Linked DNA regions of Pelodiscus sinensis. The protein of the gene in region 2 interacts with the protein of the main gene of each other region in a biochemical or structural test. Links are inferred from orthologs where the notes say so. Each region holds a gene or a part of one and is shown on either strand. Other genes may lie near its edges.

Region 1 (7,695 bases), on a different chromosome or scaffold from region 2:
CAGCACTATCTCCACAGGGGAGAGGGGAAGCAGAGGCGTAGCAGGAGACTGGATGCTGCGCCTCTGCTTTTTAAATGTATTAAGAGCCACTAGTCAATTAGTTGATTAAACGCAATTTAACATCCCTATCATAAACATTCACACAAGTTATCAACACAAATGGGTAAGCTCTGCATGTAAGAGCGGCTCCTGAGCAGGAGGCTTTACTGCTCCAGCACCCTACTGGTTAAGACGACCCAATAAGCATTAGCCTTTTAGGGTGATGATTGCCAGTTAACCGGATAACATCCCTAATCCAGAGAAAAAAAAATATCTAAGAGCAGAGCTACAGAAAAGCTACACCAAGTACAGCTAGGAAAATCCAGTCCTCCTTGCCCTTAGATTGAGCCTCCCTTCTTTCAGCTTAAGACTGCTTCCAGCACACGAACTTTCTAATCTCAGTGGAAGGAAAAGAACCATTAAGGATTCTGTGGGCCACATGTTTAAAAACTCACTGGAAAGGGTCTCTGAATATCTGCTCACTGTCCTACAAAACAATTTTACACCACCTGTTTTTGCTCACATCTTTATTATACACTCCATGCAACATCCTAAATCTAAGACTGCCCACAAAAGTCAAGAAAAAGCTAAAGATTGACCAGTTAGCACTCTGTTTCCTATATAACAATCTACATCATTGCTAAGTTTTCTAGCAGGACTCTTTCTGAAACATTCTAGCTTGGCTTAGCGCTTTGGACATAGACCTACTAGGTCAATCTCATTCTATATGCTTTTACAATGCACGGATCTCAATAGCATCTGAACGCCTTCCAGTAACATGCTGCGTGATGTGACTACTGTCATATGTTATTTGTTCTCATCCTCTCCCTAGAGGGAGAAACGTGTTCAGGGAAGTATGATTGTTCAGTAGTGTCTGCTTCCACCCCTACGGCTTTTTTTATATAAATATATGTTGTTAAAGAGTGGAGAAGGCTAGATGAAAGAGATGGGTCTTGCCCTTGAATCAGAAAATGGTGAGGTTTGTGGTGGTACTTCATCCTTGGGGTAGCTCATTCCAGCATCTCAGACAACCTCTGAAGAAATCGGTCTCCTGCACAGACAAGCTTTACTCTTATTGTTGAGATTTCTACAGTGCTACAGGAGCAGAGCTGTTAACCATGCTCTTTGCCTCTGAGTTTTAGACAATCCTTTAGGTACTTGGCTCAGGCCAAGGAGCACTTTGAAGGTAACAACTGAAACCTTGATTTGCTGGTTCTATGGGAAGCCAGCATAGAGGACAGAGGACAGATGTGATATGTCTGTGTTGCTGCTGATGTGCTGTAGCCTTCTGCACTAGCAGCTCTTTGTCCATCTAGATGGGACAGAGTTTCCCTAGCTAAACAGACACAGAAGTAAGCACCGCTTGCAGATACTGACAAGTGAGAGCTCAATCAATGTTAGTGAGGAATCCAAAAGAACTCCTGACTACTGACTGGACTGAACTGACCAATTGTGGGTCTCTCTCTCTCAATCAACGTAAACAATGCCATGACCGCAGGCTCTTCAAGATACTTTCCTGTGACCATCACCTCTGTCATTGAAACGCCTTTTGGTGAAATTACACTTTTCATGGGATCCCTCAAAAAGACACCAAAGAATTTTTGAGACTTAAATGAGCTCTTGCCCAACCAATGCTCTTTCAGGGATTCAAGGGAAAATTTCAGTCACCACAACTTCCAACAAATCCAGGGTTGCCAAATCTTTCATCTCTTTTCTTGCATCAGGCAACAGGTGGAAGCGTCTTTTCTATACAGCAAAATCTTGCCAGCCAAGGAGCCCATCAACTCAACAGGAAGACTGAAGAACTTTCTCCTCCTGAACCATACCTCCTGACACATGGGCTCTGAAGATTAGTCACACAGGTCTTCTCAGTAATTCCCAAACACTTAATTTCTGGCCTCCTCATCCCACTAAATAAACTTAACAGTTTCTCAATTATCATCAGCTTAAGAATGAGTGTTCTAGTTCCAGGTGACAAGAAGTTCTTCAGTTTCTCAAGATCCTGATGACCAGGGCTTGACAAACAGTGGCGAAATCTGTTCACCAGCCCCGCAGTGCGCATGCGCAAGACCCGCATTGCACATGCAAGCGCCGCCGATGAATGGGGCGACCGGAAGAAACGTGGCGAGTAGATTCAATGACTTGTCGAGCGCTGCTGATGACCGACAATTGTTAAAACCCTGAAGAGGAAAGTCAGAAGCTTCCACAAGTTTCAGAATCAAAGAACTGAGCAAGAACCCACCAAGTACCACTGCCTCCATCAATGAGGCCCAATGCCAGCCCGTACCAAGGACGTTTTCTGTGCACTGCTGCAACACCGTCCCTTAAAGAATGTACAGGGACCACCTGAAAGAGGCATTGGCTAATCAACGGATTCGCTTTCCATCTTTTGGCACAAATCTCTTCCTCTTCAATGGCGAGTCCCGAAGTGGCAATCCAGCCGGTGGCTTTCCAGACGACGTCCAGGTCCCGCTTTCCGACGGCTCGTGTTCTCTGTGTGAGCGCGCCTGGTACCGAAAGGGGCTGGGCGTCTCACCCCACGGCCGGGCCGGAGCCCCCGGGCCACGCTGGGCGTTCCGGCTAGCCGGGCGAGGCCTCGGCCGGGGCACGTCCCCCCCGCTCCCGGGCCAGGGGTCCCCTGGGGGGCGGGGCCGGGCCCAGGGACTTGCCACAGGCCCTACCCGGACGCCCCTCCCCCACACCAGGCCTCAGGCCGCGCTTGGGGCGGGGCCACGGGGCGGGCGCTCCCCCGACGGCCCCGCGCGGCCGCTCCCGGGGCCTGGCCCGCAGCCAGGCCGCGCTCCCGGCATCCCTCGCGGGCGGGGGCGGGGGGAGCCCGTCCCGCGCAGGCCGTTACCTTGGGCTTCTCCTCGGACATGGCGGCGTCGGACGAGTCCGGCCTGGCGCGGGCACAGTCACGCTCCGGGCTCCCGCCTCGCAACCGCCGCAACTGCCCGCGAGCGCGCGCTTCGCCCCCCGAATCCCCGGCCCCTGATTGGCTCCGGCGGGGGCCACGTGCCGGCGCGCGCTCACGAGGCGCGCTCGCGAGCGATGCTTGTCGGGGGCGCGCTTTAGGGGCGGAGGCAGGGCGGGGCGCTCGGAAGTGCGTCATCGGGGAACCGGAACTGGTGCGGGGCGCCAACATGGAGGGGCCAAGGGAGCGCCCCACAGTGCTTGGGGGGGGCAGCACGGGGGCCCCCGGGGCAGCGCCTCTCAGAGCCTGGGGGGGGGCAGCACGGGGGCCCCGGGGCAGCGCCTCTCAGAGCTTGGGGGGGGGCAGCACGGGGGCCCCGGGGCAGCGCCTCTCAGAGCCTGGGGGGGGGCAGCACGGGGGCCCCGGGGCAGCGCCTCTCAGAGCCTGGGGGGGGCAGCACGGGGGCCCCCGGGGCAGCGCCTCTCAGAGCCTGGGGGGGGGGCAGCACGGGGGCCCCCGGGTCAGCGCCTCTCAGAGCCTGGGGGGGGCAGCACGGGGGCCCCGGGGCAGCGCCTCTCAGAGCCTGGGGGGGGCAGCACGGGGGCCCCGGGGCAGCGCCTCTCAGAGCCTGGGGGGGGCAGCACGGGGGCCCCCGGGGCAGCGCCTCTCAGAGCCTGGGGGGGGGGCAGCACGGGGGCCCCGGGGCAGCGCCTCCCAGAGCCTGGGGGGGGCAGCACGGGGGCCCCGGGGCAGCGCCTCTCAGAGCCTGGGGGGGGCAGCACGGGGGCCCCGGGGCAGCGCCTCCCAGAGCCTGGGGGGGGCAGCACAGGGGCCCCGGGGCAGCGCCTCCCAGAGCCTGGGGGGGGCAGCACGGGGGCCCCGGGGCAGCGCCTCTCAGAGCCTGGGGGGGGGCAGCACGGGGGCCCCGGGGCAGCGCCTCCCAGAGCCTGGGGGGGGCAGCACGGGGGCCCCGGGGCAGCGCCTCCCAGAGCCTGGGGGGGGCAGCACGGGGGCCCCGGGGCAGCGCCTCCCAGAGCCTGGGGGGGCAGCACGGGGGCCCCCGGGGCAGCGCCTCTCAGAGCCTGGGGGGGGCAGCGCGGGGGCCCCGGGGCAGCGCCTCTCAGAGCCTGGGGGGGGCAGCGCGGGGGCCCTCGGGGCAGCGCCTCTCAGAGCCTGGGGGGGGGCAGCACGGGGGCCCTCGGGGCAGCGCCTCTCAGAGCCTGGGGGGGGGCAGCACGGGGGCCCCGGGGCAGCGCCTCTCAGAGCCTGGGGGGGGGCAGCACGGGGGCCCCCGGGGCAGCGCCTCTCAGAGCCTGGGGGGGGGCAGCACGGGGGCCCCCGGGGCAGCGCCTCTCAGAGCCTGGGGGGGGGCAGCACGGGGGCCCCCGGGGCAGCGCCTCTCAGAGCCTGGGGGGGGCAGCACGGGGGCCCCCGGGGCAGCGCCTCTCAGAGCCTGGGGGGGGGCAGCACGGGGGCCCCCGGGGCAGCGCCTCTCAGAGCCTGGGGGGGGGCAGCACGGGGGCCCCCCGGGCAGCGCCTCTCAGAGCCTGGGGGGGGGCAGCACGGGGGCCCCGGGGCAGCGCCTCTCAGAGCCTGGGGGGGGCAGCACGGGGGCCCCCGGGGCAGCGCCACCCAGAGCCTGGGGGGGCAGCACGGGGGCCCCGGGGCAGCGCCTCTCAGAGCCTGGGGGGGGCAGCACGGGGGCCCCCGGGGCAGCGCCTCCCAGAGCCTGGGGGGGCAGCACGGGGGCCCCCGGGGCAGCGCCTCCCAGAGCCTGGGGGGGGGCAGCACGGGGGCCCCCGGGGCAGCGACTCCCAGAGCCTGGGGGGGGGCAGCACGGGGGCCCCTGGGGCAGCGCCTCTCAGAGCCTGGGGGGGGCAGCACGGGGCCCCCGGGGCAGCGCCTCCCAGAGCCTGGGGGGGGGCAGCACGGGGGCCCCCGGGTCAGCGCCTCTCAGAGCCTGGGGGGGGGGCAGCACGGGGGCCCCCGGGTCAGCGCCTCTCAGAGCCTGGGGGGGGGGCAGCACGGGGGCCCCCGGGGCAGCGCCTCTCAGAGCCTGGGGGGGGGGGGCAGCACGGGGGCCCCGGGGCAGCGCCTCTCAGAGCCTGGGGGGGGGCAGCACGGGGGCCCCGGGGCAGCGCCTCTCAGAGCCTGGGGGGGGGGCAGCACGGGGGCCCCGGGGCAGCGCCTCTCAGAGCCTGGGGGGGGGGCAGCACGGGGCCCCCGGGTCAGCGCGCCTCAGAGCCTGGGGGGGCAGCACGGGGCCCCCGGGTCAGCGCGCCTCAGAGCCTGGGGGGGCAGCACGGGGGCCCCCGGGTCAGCGCGCCTCAGAGCCTGGGGGGAGCAGCACGGGGGCCCCATGGTCAGCGTGCCTCAGAGCCTGGGGGGAGTAGCACGGGGGCCCCATGGTCAGCGCCTCTCAGAGCCTGGGGGGGGCAGCGCCTCTCAGAGCTTGGGGGGGCAGCACGGGGGCCCCTGGGGCAGCGCCTCTCAGAGCCTGGGGGGGCAGCACGGGGCCCCCGGGGCAGCGCCTCTCAGAGCTTGGGGGGGCAGCATGGGGCCCTGGGTCAGCGCCTCTCAGAGCCTGGGGGGGCAGCACGGGGCCCCCGGGGCAGCGCCTCTCAGAGCTTGGGGGGGCAGCACGGGGGCCCCTGGGGCAGCGCCTCTCAGAGCCTGGGGGGGCAGCACAGGGGCCCCGGGGCAGTGCCTCTCAGAGCCTGGGGGGGCAGCACGGGGACCCCCGGGGCAGCGCCTCTCAGAGCCTGGGGGGGGCAGCGCCTCTCAGAGCCTGGGGGGGGCAGCGCCTCTCAGAGCCTGGGGGGAGCAGCACGGGGGCCCCCGGGTCAGCGCCTCTCAGAGCCTGGGGGGGCAGCACCTCTCAGAGCCTGGGGGGGCAGCACGGGGGCCCCTGGGGCAGCGCCTCTCAGAGCCTGGGGGGGCAGCACAGGGGCCCCGGGGCAGCGCCTCTCAGAGCCTGGGGGGGCAGCACGGGGACCCCCGGGGCAGCGCCTCTCAGAGCCTGGGGGGAGCAGCACGGGGGCCCCCGGGTCAGCGCCTCTCAGAGCCTGGGGGGGCAGCACCTCTCAGAGCCTGGGGGGGCAGCACGGGGCCCCCGGGGCAGCGCCTCTCAGAGCCTGGGGGGGGGCAGCACAGGGGCCCCGGGGCAGCGCCTCTCAGAGCCTGGGGGGGCAGCACGGGGGCCCCGGGGCAGCGCCTCTCAGAGCCTGGGGGGGGCAGCACGGGGGCCCCATGGTCAGCGCCTCTCAGAGCCTGGGGGGGGGGCAGCGCCTCTCAGAGCCTGGGGGAGCAGCACGGGGCCCTGGGTCAGCGCCTCTCAGAGCTTGGGGGGGGCAGCATGGGGCCCTGGGTCAGCGCCTCTCAGAGCCTGGGGGGGCAGCACGGGGCCCCCGGGGCAGCGCCTCTCAGAGCTTGGGGGGGCAGCACGGGGGCCCCGGGGCAGCGCCTCTCAGAGCCTGGGGGGGCAGCACAGGGGCCCCTGGGGCAGCGCCTCCCACAGCCTGAGGGAGGGGGGGCAGCTTCCCCCAAGTCCTGGTACTGCCACAATTACATCTGCCCTCCAGGAGTACTGGCCTGGTGGGCGAGGGGGGGGGTGGAGGGGGTAGCCCCTGGCAGCCCCTTCCCTGTCTGACACCCCCCAGCACAGACACACAATGTCCGGCTCCGAGCCGCCACTGTGCACCCGCAGCTTGAGCGTGGTACTGTCCTCCCCATTTTAAAGATGGGGCAACTGAGGCTGCATAGAGGCGTACAAATACAGGAAACCCCCCCCTTTCATCCAGCCCAAGTTGCGACCCCCCCCCCACCCACTTACGACCGTTTTTGTAAGTGTGGAAGGGGCTGGAAACCCCCGCCTTACATCCTTGGCCTGTAATTACAACACCGCATGGCACCTATTGTAAACGTAGGTTCGAGTTACAACGCCCCCGCCTTGCACCGCTTCCCCCAGAACCAATCACATCACAAGTCTGGGAGCGCCTGTACTTGTGTTCCCTTGTGTGACTGCTCATGACTCTCCCGTGTACACATGCAAAATACACCCCCATGTACACTAATGGACATATAGATAGCTATAGCCCTCTGTGTGGCCAATGGCCAACATATATACACATAGAAATAAACATGAACCAATATACACTAATGAATATGCCTGCATAAACATGTATGAGCATATAGGAAAACAGGCACATGTTTTTGTAAATGAAAAGACATGCATAAACATGCATCCTGAGCTGTTTATAGTGTATCCACATGCCAACATGGATGCACACATGTACAAAACATGCACAAAGTATGCATAGATGCTATTTCCCCCACAAAGTATGCATAGATGCACAAACCCCACAACTAACATACATGTATGCACAACTCCTGCATATACAATAGTAACAGACATGTATACAAATAAATGCACACAATTCAGACCAGTGCACAAAAAGTGCACATACGTATACATACACTGGGGAATGTATTTGGCTCCTATGGATCCTGGCATGTTGTGCTAATACATATACAAGACATGTTATACAAAAGGTCAGACTAGATCTCGCACATTCCTTCTAGCCATAGATTCTATTAAAAGACTTGCATACAAAACCACATAAATGTATACATATAAATACATGTATGTATGTGGAAGGAGTTGTAAGCATACATTTGCAAAGGAGAATACGTATGTGCATACAAAGCAATAATTCACATACATCAGTGTGACATACATCCCT
Region 2 (7,847 bases):
TTAATGAGAGCTAGTATAGTGAACATTTTGAGTCTGAACAAGTTAAAGTGCAGTGTGTGTATATAATATATATGGACTAGAATGATATCATTGGTCTCAGTTTTTTCCATTTATTATTGGATACAGTCTCATCACAACAGAAGTGGCGACAATGAGATTCATTTTATTAATAAAAAATGAAGCAGAAAATGTCACAAAGCAGTAAATCTGAAAAAGAAAAATGGGTCTCCTGCTGCAAAGGAAACGCTGAGACATTTACAGCAAAACTAACATTGAGGTGCAACTGAAAAGTGTATTTTCAAAAGTAGCTAGAGATAATCTCAAGTTACAATAATTGCCCAGTCACAATGTTCAGTTTGGTTGACAATACTGCTGTTAAATCAAAAACTGATTTGCTAAAATAAAAAAGGAATGATGGAATCAACAACCAACCAACCAACCAGGCCAGCTCAAGGAGGGAGAAAGTGAAGAGACCTGGAGAGACATTAGAAAGCAAAGATACAGGCTTCCTGCCCCAGAAAGTTTTGAAATTCCAAATAGTGTCCTGCAGTTAGCAAGCAGAGGCACTTTTTCTATATTTTGTTAGAAGTTAAATATGGCTTTAAAACATTAAGACAAAGAGCTCTGAATTACATGAGTTAGCCATCGCTTGTGCAGCAGGCCACTTGCAGCAGGAGTTGTCAGGTAGAATTCTGGATAATTCCTTCTGGGAAGTGCATACTAAAGTTAGACTTCAAATGCACTGGCACAGGAGACAACATGCAAAATTCCTCCTCAAGCCCAATCAGTTCTGTTGGCCATTGAAGACTGAAAACATTGCACAGCCTTTACTCTTCTGGGGAGGCTCATAGAGCTATGCCATAGGCAGCCTCTACTTCTATGCTCTCTAGTTGGCTTGACAACTCTAGAAGATTGTGTCATTTTGTTACCTCAAGGAGTCACATTTATTCGGTGTACAATACAAAATGGAGGTCAATTCAGACAGAGACCTTTGTGTGTAATAGGTCAGCTGGTTGAAGATAAACCTTGCTGAACCCATGGGATCTAAATGTCATTCTTCCTCTCTACTCTGCACTGGTTAGGCCTCAGTTGGAATATTGTGTCCAGTTCTGGGCACCACATTTCAAGAAAGATGTGGAGAAATTGGAGAGGGTCCAGAGAAGAGCAACAAGAATGATTAAAGATCTAGAGAACATGACCTATGAAGGAAGGCTGAAAATTGGGTTTGTTAAGTTTAGAAAAGAGAAGACTGAGGGGGGACATGATAGCCATTTTCAGGTGTCTAAAAGGGTGTCATAAGGAGGAGGGAGAAAACTTGTTCATCTTGGCCTCTGAGGATAAAACAAGAAGCAATGGGCTTAAACTGCAGCAAGGGAGGTTTAGGTTGGACATTAGGAAAAATGTCTTAACTGTCAGGGTAGTCAAACACTGGAATAAATTGCCCAGGGAGGTTGTAGAAACCCCATCTCTGGAGAGATTTAAGAGTAGGTTAGATAAATGTCTATCAGGGATGGTCTAGACAGTATTTAGTCCGGCCATGGGGGCAGGGGACTGGACTCGATGACCTCTCGAGGTCCCTTCCAGTCCTAGTATTCTATGAAATGATCAGGGATGACTTGTGCTATCTACACTGACTTTATACTCATGTTTAACAATGATAGTTGTCACAATTGTTCAATTCTGTTATAAACACACCCTATTCAAAAACAAAAGACAAACCCATTGTGGCTGGTCTGGGTGAGGGAGTTGGAGGAAAGAAGGCTGACCCATTATGGTCAGTCTCATGGTAGACACACACCACACCCTCATATCTTTCACTTCAGTTACATATGAAAACAGAATCAGATCTATAGAACACCCACAAAACAGGATATTTTCACCTTCGCACAGAGGGATATTTGGCTTCTCTATCCCCTTCCAATTCACATCTATGTCTGTCTATCCACCCAGTAACCCACAGAATCACATATTCCAATATCAGGTGAGCTAAGCAAACAGACTGTTTTTGCAATGTTTTGACACCTAACAGGTTATTAGAAAGGACATTAATCTACCTTACTTTCTAGTCTACTGTTTCCCATTTGTCCTTTGGATTCAATTTCCTCGATAACTACTTTTTTCAACTCTTCCTCCTTCTCTACATTCCTCCTTCTCGCCCTGTCTCCAGTTTTCCACCCCAACCATTTCTAGATCTTCTCTTAATCGGCCTCCCTACTTTCCACCTTCCACAATGCTCTCTCTTTTCCAGGCCCCACTTTTCACAAGTCTTCTTCCCCTTCCAAGGTCCTCCTCCCAAAGCTGCCTTCCCCTTTCCTCCTCAGGGACCCCTTCCCTTTTTCCTTTCTCCCCCTCCCCCAAAGGGCCTTCCCCATTCATTTCCTACTCCAGGCCTGAACAGTCTCTCTGTTAGTCTTTAAAGTGATACCTGACTATTTGTTGTTTTTTAAGTTTCTCCCCTTTGAGTTTCTCTTCTTCTGGGGGAAATCTTCCCTTCCCCCATTCCTGGTGCATCAGCCCATCAGCATTCCCAAAGAGTTTTAAACTACCTTTTGTGCTCACAGATAAACCCCAGCTTTTGAGTGCCCCTGCATACAATGTATTGACCAGCCATCAACCACAGATAATAAGCCACTCAGGCTGCTGAGGGTGTCAAAGCCTATTAAAAAGACAGCCTCTCCTGCCTTCTATAAGCTTTAAACAAGCTTACCTCAATTGTGACTTCTCTTGGCAGCTTCTTCCACTTCCTCCTTCTTCTCAGCCTCCTTGGGGCCACTGGCACAGCCCTAGGAGCATCTCCCACACTTTGGCCTTCTGGCCTCTCTTGTTTTGTAGTGAAAGGCACAGAGCAGAATGATGAGGCAGCTCTCTGTGGAGCAGACACCTTGCCTTGCTGTGAAGTAGCCATCAGCAAAGCAGTACCTCTTACTAGGGAAGCCAATAATGCAGGGTTTTCTATACCAAAGTACTACTCATACCGGGGAGCAAACTCTCCAGAAGCCAGATGCTCTTTCACCTCATAGGGATAGGCTGGTTAACAGGGACATACATCATTAGCATAATAATAATCTTTTCAAGGCCCTTTGCCATGCATGTTGGTGATACTGAGTCTACCATAGCTTTGTTGCCTAATAAAATACTGATAGCACCAGGAAAGCCAAATGGGTGATTGCAAGCCAGGGTTTAAACCTTGGGGCAGGCAGTTAGAAACCACACAGCTGCTCACAAATTAGGCTTATTAGCATTTTAAGCCCTGTGTTATCCAGCCTTACTGAATGATGGATACAAAGAAAGTAGCAGTGGGGACAGACTGTGTTTTAAGTCTATATGGGATTATGTTTAGTCATAAAGACTTTAAACTGCAAGTTCTGCATCAGATCCATTGTCTTGTGGAAAGAGAGTGTAACATATTAGCACAAATGAAGGTGAGAGGAGAATTCTAATTCAGTAGCATTTAACACCCTCTTTACACAGGTGCTAACATTTTTAAAGCCTGGTGGAGATACAGTCCTACTCTCATTTATTTTCAATTTGTGCTCTGGCTTTTAGAAGCCTTATTATTCTATTATCTATAGCTGAAGAAAACAATTTTTGTTGGAAATACACCCACTGCGTCTAATTTCTGAAATGGACTGAGGCCCTGCAGTTTGGAACAGCAAAACTTAGAAATGGAAGGCAGCAGCATAACTCAACCCTGTGTCTGTTGTATGAACCAATAAAAAAATCTGTATTGTTCTAAACTAGGCATGTTATCAGGTTAAAGTAAAATTTCCTTAGTTATAGTACTAATAGTAACAGCTTACAAAGAAAGTTAATTTATATTTATTCGTCACTGCTTACTTTTTGTACTTTGATGGGCTTTGACAAACACGCGAGCTCTGTTTCTCTTTCCTGTTCTCATACAGTGCTCCAAAGTAGTAGTTGCAAACACCAGGAAAATGTTTACTGTCAAGAAATACAATTGTTATATTGACCATTATTAATTTAAGTAAAATATTTATATTAAATGGTTTCATATGTTTTTCTCCTCTACTCATCTGGATTACCTGATTGCCCACTTCCTTGTAAGCCACTAAATTGCCAACTGCAACCATGAGCCTGCAACTTGTTCTGCATAGTTACAGGGACTTGCATCTGCAGAACCATCTGCAAGATAGGGGTTTGAGTTTTTACAAATACTTTACAACATAGAAAAAAACCAGCAAGCAAATGGTCTGGTAGCACTTTATAGACTAACAAAACATGGTATCATGAGCTTTTGTGGGCACAGCCCACTTCTTCAGATGACTGGAGTTATGATTAGAGGATAAAGAAACTCGAAATAAATAGGAGAAGGGAAGGGGGTGGGAAGTGTGTTAAACCTGTCACCTACCCCCCTATCTCTATGCATAAAGTATCAGGAGAAAGGGTGTTAAACCTGAGTAGATAAAGATGAAAGTCAGTGGATGGGTAAGTCAAGAAGGATACCATTTAGAAAGTAGTTAGCACCTTCATTGATAAAGTTTCCACCACCCCATATCTTGAATAAGTCCATAATTAATTGAATTGAATTTGCATATATATTGTAATTCCAAGTCTTCCCTGTCTATTTGGCTTGAGGAACTGGCCTGTGACAAGACCACCACCTTCAGAACTGTGAGATTATGGTTAGGTGAACAGAAATGTTCTGCCACTGGCTTCTGAGTATTTTCTTCATGTATATCCAATTTGTGTCCATTGATTCTTTCACGTAGAGAACATCCAGTTTGACCAATATATATAGTAGAGGGGCACTGCCAACAGTGCCTGCTATAATTCAGAATTCTTCAGGTCCCAGATTCTATGGCCTTTAAAGTTTCCAGTAAGGTAACTGGGTCCAACTCCTCGAGATAGGAACAGCGGGAAGAGGGAAACACTTCGATGGTTCATGGCTTATTTCCTTCTCCTTACCAAGCAACCTTCACCTTTGGTAGATAGTGTCCACATTTATGAGTAATGGCAGGATGTATGGAATTTTGTATGTGTCTATAGATTCCGGTTGTGCATTGCATCCTGCTATCATGTTTCACAGTTTAAGTACAATGATGCTTGATGCAGCTGTCTCAGTTTACGATTTTTCATATCCATGCCATCCACTATTCCCAGTACCACAGGAAAAAGTTTATTGAATAGTTGAATTCCTGCTTATCCCATCAGTCAGAAGGCCATGTAATCTTTGGAAATTAGAGCCCTTGGAAACTAGTGCAGGATGTGGGAGACAGTGGACTGTGTGAAGTTTATCAATCATGTCCTCTACTAGACACATAGGCTACGTCTACACTGGCCCCTTTTCCGAAAGGGGCATGCTAATTTTCAACTTCAGAATAGGGAAATCCACGGGGGATTTAAATAAAGATGTCCGCCGCTTTTTTCCGGCTTGGGGAAAAGCCGGAAAAAAGCATCTAGACTGGCCCAATCCTCCGGAATAAAGCCCTATTCCGGAGGATCTCTTATTCCTACTTCCATAAGCAGTCTTATCTGATGCACAGTAGAGATTTAAGATTGGCTTTACCAGTAGGGCCTTATTTCTATGCTAGTGGCTTGAAACATTTTTAATTAAGCCATCAGTTGTACTGAACTTGTTTTAAATTCAGTTGGTTCAGTGCTTCCACACCACCACCCTTAATTATCTTTGGATAAATTCATGCCATTTATACTTGTACTCTCCTAAACCAATTTAGCTTTTGTGCCCCCTACATATGGTCTGTCAAGACACACTCCTCCAGCCCCCATTATATCTTTCACATTATTCTCTATTCTATTCTTAACTGCCTGAGCCCCACTCCACCCTTAACACTCCCTATCAAAAATGCCTCTTTAACCACTAATCTCTAGGACATCTCATCTCCTTAGCTGATAAACCACATCAAGGTTTATCAGGTGCAGGTAGTGGTTTGTAAATGAGGGCATGTTCTGGGAGATGTCCCATATACCTCTGAATATACCTGCTGTGGACAGAGGATGAAAACAGGGGCTACATCTAGACTGGCATGATTTTCTGCAAATGCTTTTAATGAAAAAGTTTTCCGTTAAAAGCATTTGCAAAAAATAGCATCTCGATTAGCACAGACGCTTTTTCACAAAAGCACTTTTTGCAGAAAAGGGTCCGTGCCAATCAAGATGTGCTTTTGTGCAAAAAAAGCCCCCATTGCCATTTTCGCGATCGGGGCTTTTTTGCGCAAAACAAATCTGAGCTGTCTACACTGGTCCTTTTGCGCAAACACTTTTGCGCAAAAGGACTTTTGCCCGAACGGGAGCAGCATAGTATTTCCGCAAGAAGCACTGATTTCTTACATGAGATCGTCAGTGTTCTTGCGGAAATTCAAGTGGCCAGTGTAGACAGCTGGCAAGTTCTTCTGCAAAAGCAGCTGCTTTTGTGGAAAAACTTGCTAGTCGAGACACAGCCGGGGCGAGTGCCTTCTGAGATGTTCCAGGGCCATGAGACCATGCCCTGCTAGGAAGGGAGATAAGGGCAGGGCTGGAACTGTTGACAAGGGCCCTATGCTGCTTCTGCTCCGACGTGCAAAGAACTAATGGCAGAGTGGGCATGTACTGACAGCTGGCATGGAGTGAGGAGCTAATGGGGGGAACAGGGAACGGAACAAGAAGCTAATGGCAGTGGAGTTGGGCTGGGCCTGGGCACTGAGCTAATGGCAGGGTGGGCTGGGCATGGAATAAAGGCATGATGGGGTGGGGTCTAGGCTCATTCAGACCGGTGCCCAGGCCCGGTGTGGAGGAGGGATGCCTGCCCCCAGCTGCTCTCCGCGCCCAGCGGGGACAGGCAGCGCGGAGCAGGGCTCTATCCCGCACGTTCTCCGCACAGCCCAGGCTCAGCTGCAGACAGGGGCACGCGCCGTTGTCCGATGTGGTGATTGGCCAGTATCCCCGGCGGGCCTTGCCTCCCTATATGACGATTGGCCAGTAGGTCAAGCCGCTCGGGTTTTTTTTGTAATTCTGTGATTGGACAGTTCTAAAGACAATCCCCGCCTCCCGGCACTCTGATAGGTCAAGACAACGGACAACGCCCGCCACCCCGCCCGCTGATTGGTCAGCGCCTCAGACAGGCCCTCCCTCTCCACCCGAGCGGTGTGCCGATGAGTCGTTGTGGGGTCGGTGCCCGGTGTCTCCGAGTGGGTTTTACTTTCCCGCTTATACCGTGAGAGAAGCGGGTCTCTCTCCGCGTACCCCGCAACCATGGAGCTTTCCTACCAGACGCTGAAGACCACCCACCAGGCCAAGGAGGCGGTGAGTGCCCCCGAAAGGCCGCTGCGCTTCTCCGTTACTATGGAGACGGGGCAGCTGGGAGCGCCATGACCGCGCACGCGCAAAGAGAGACCGCCCTGCCGCAGGCGTTCTCGGTGCGCAGGCGCAGATAACAGCAGCGGGAGGTGTCCGTGCGTCCGCCTTTCAGTTTCGGGGCGCGGTATTGTCAGTCGTGGAGCGTCTCCTCAGGACTGGGCTCACCGCCCATGGCTGGGGGGAGTCCCCGGTGTCCGTACACCTGTGGGAATCCATCCTCCTGCTCAAGCAGAGACTCCAGTTCGCTGTGTGACTTCTCCCCCCCCCCCCCCCCCCCTTTACAGACTAACACAGGAGCTTGTTCGGCTGAGTGCATTCTGTCACCTGTCCCTTTATCGCCATCTGCTGCTTAACAGCAAATGTAGCCTCCATTGAATATTTGATACAATTTTTATGCTCCAGACTCCTTTGTATCAGTCTGGGCAAGGCATGAAATCCTTTTCTGATCCCATTGGAGATGGTATTACAACTCACACTTATTTCAGTAAGGCCAATGTTTCTCCACGAGTGGGACATGTAATGATGTCCCCCTT

The links. The genes of interacting proteins can lie anywhere in the genome.
Region 1: the proteins of PIAS2 (region 2) and SUMO3 form a complex in vitro, tested with the Homo sapiens proteins (2 studies listed by BioGRID, with this or other methods). The link is inferred for Pelodiscus sinensis from reciprocal best matches to the Homo sapiens genes PIAS2 and SUMO3.

What each region holds. Positions count from the first base shown.
Region 1 is NC_134720.1:3,174,845-3,182,539, forward strand, and holds the start of SUMO3 (small ubiquitin-related modifier 3), read right to left. Parts: upstream 3,082-7,695; 5' UTR 2,918-3,081; coding exon 2,897-2,917; intron 1-2,896. UniProt on the Homo sapiens protein: Ubiquitin-like protein which can be covalently attached to target lysines either as a monomer or as a lysine-linked polymer. Does not seem to be involved in protein degradation and may function as an antagonist of ubiquitin in the degradation process.
Region 2 is NC_134716.1:117,838,422-117,846,268, reverse strand, and holds the start of PIAS2 (E3 SUMO-protein ligase PIAS2), read right to left. Parts: upstream 3,003-7,847; 5' UTR 2,906-3,002; coding exon 2,708-2,905; intron 1-2,707. Other genes in the region: KATNAL2 (katanin p60 ATPase-containing subunit A-like 2), read left to right, coding at 7,210-7,260. UniProt on the Homo sapiens protein: Functions as an E3-type small ubiquitin-like modifier (SUMO) ligase, stabilizing the interaction between UBE2I and the substrate, and as a SUMO-tethering factor.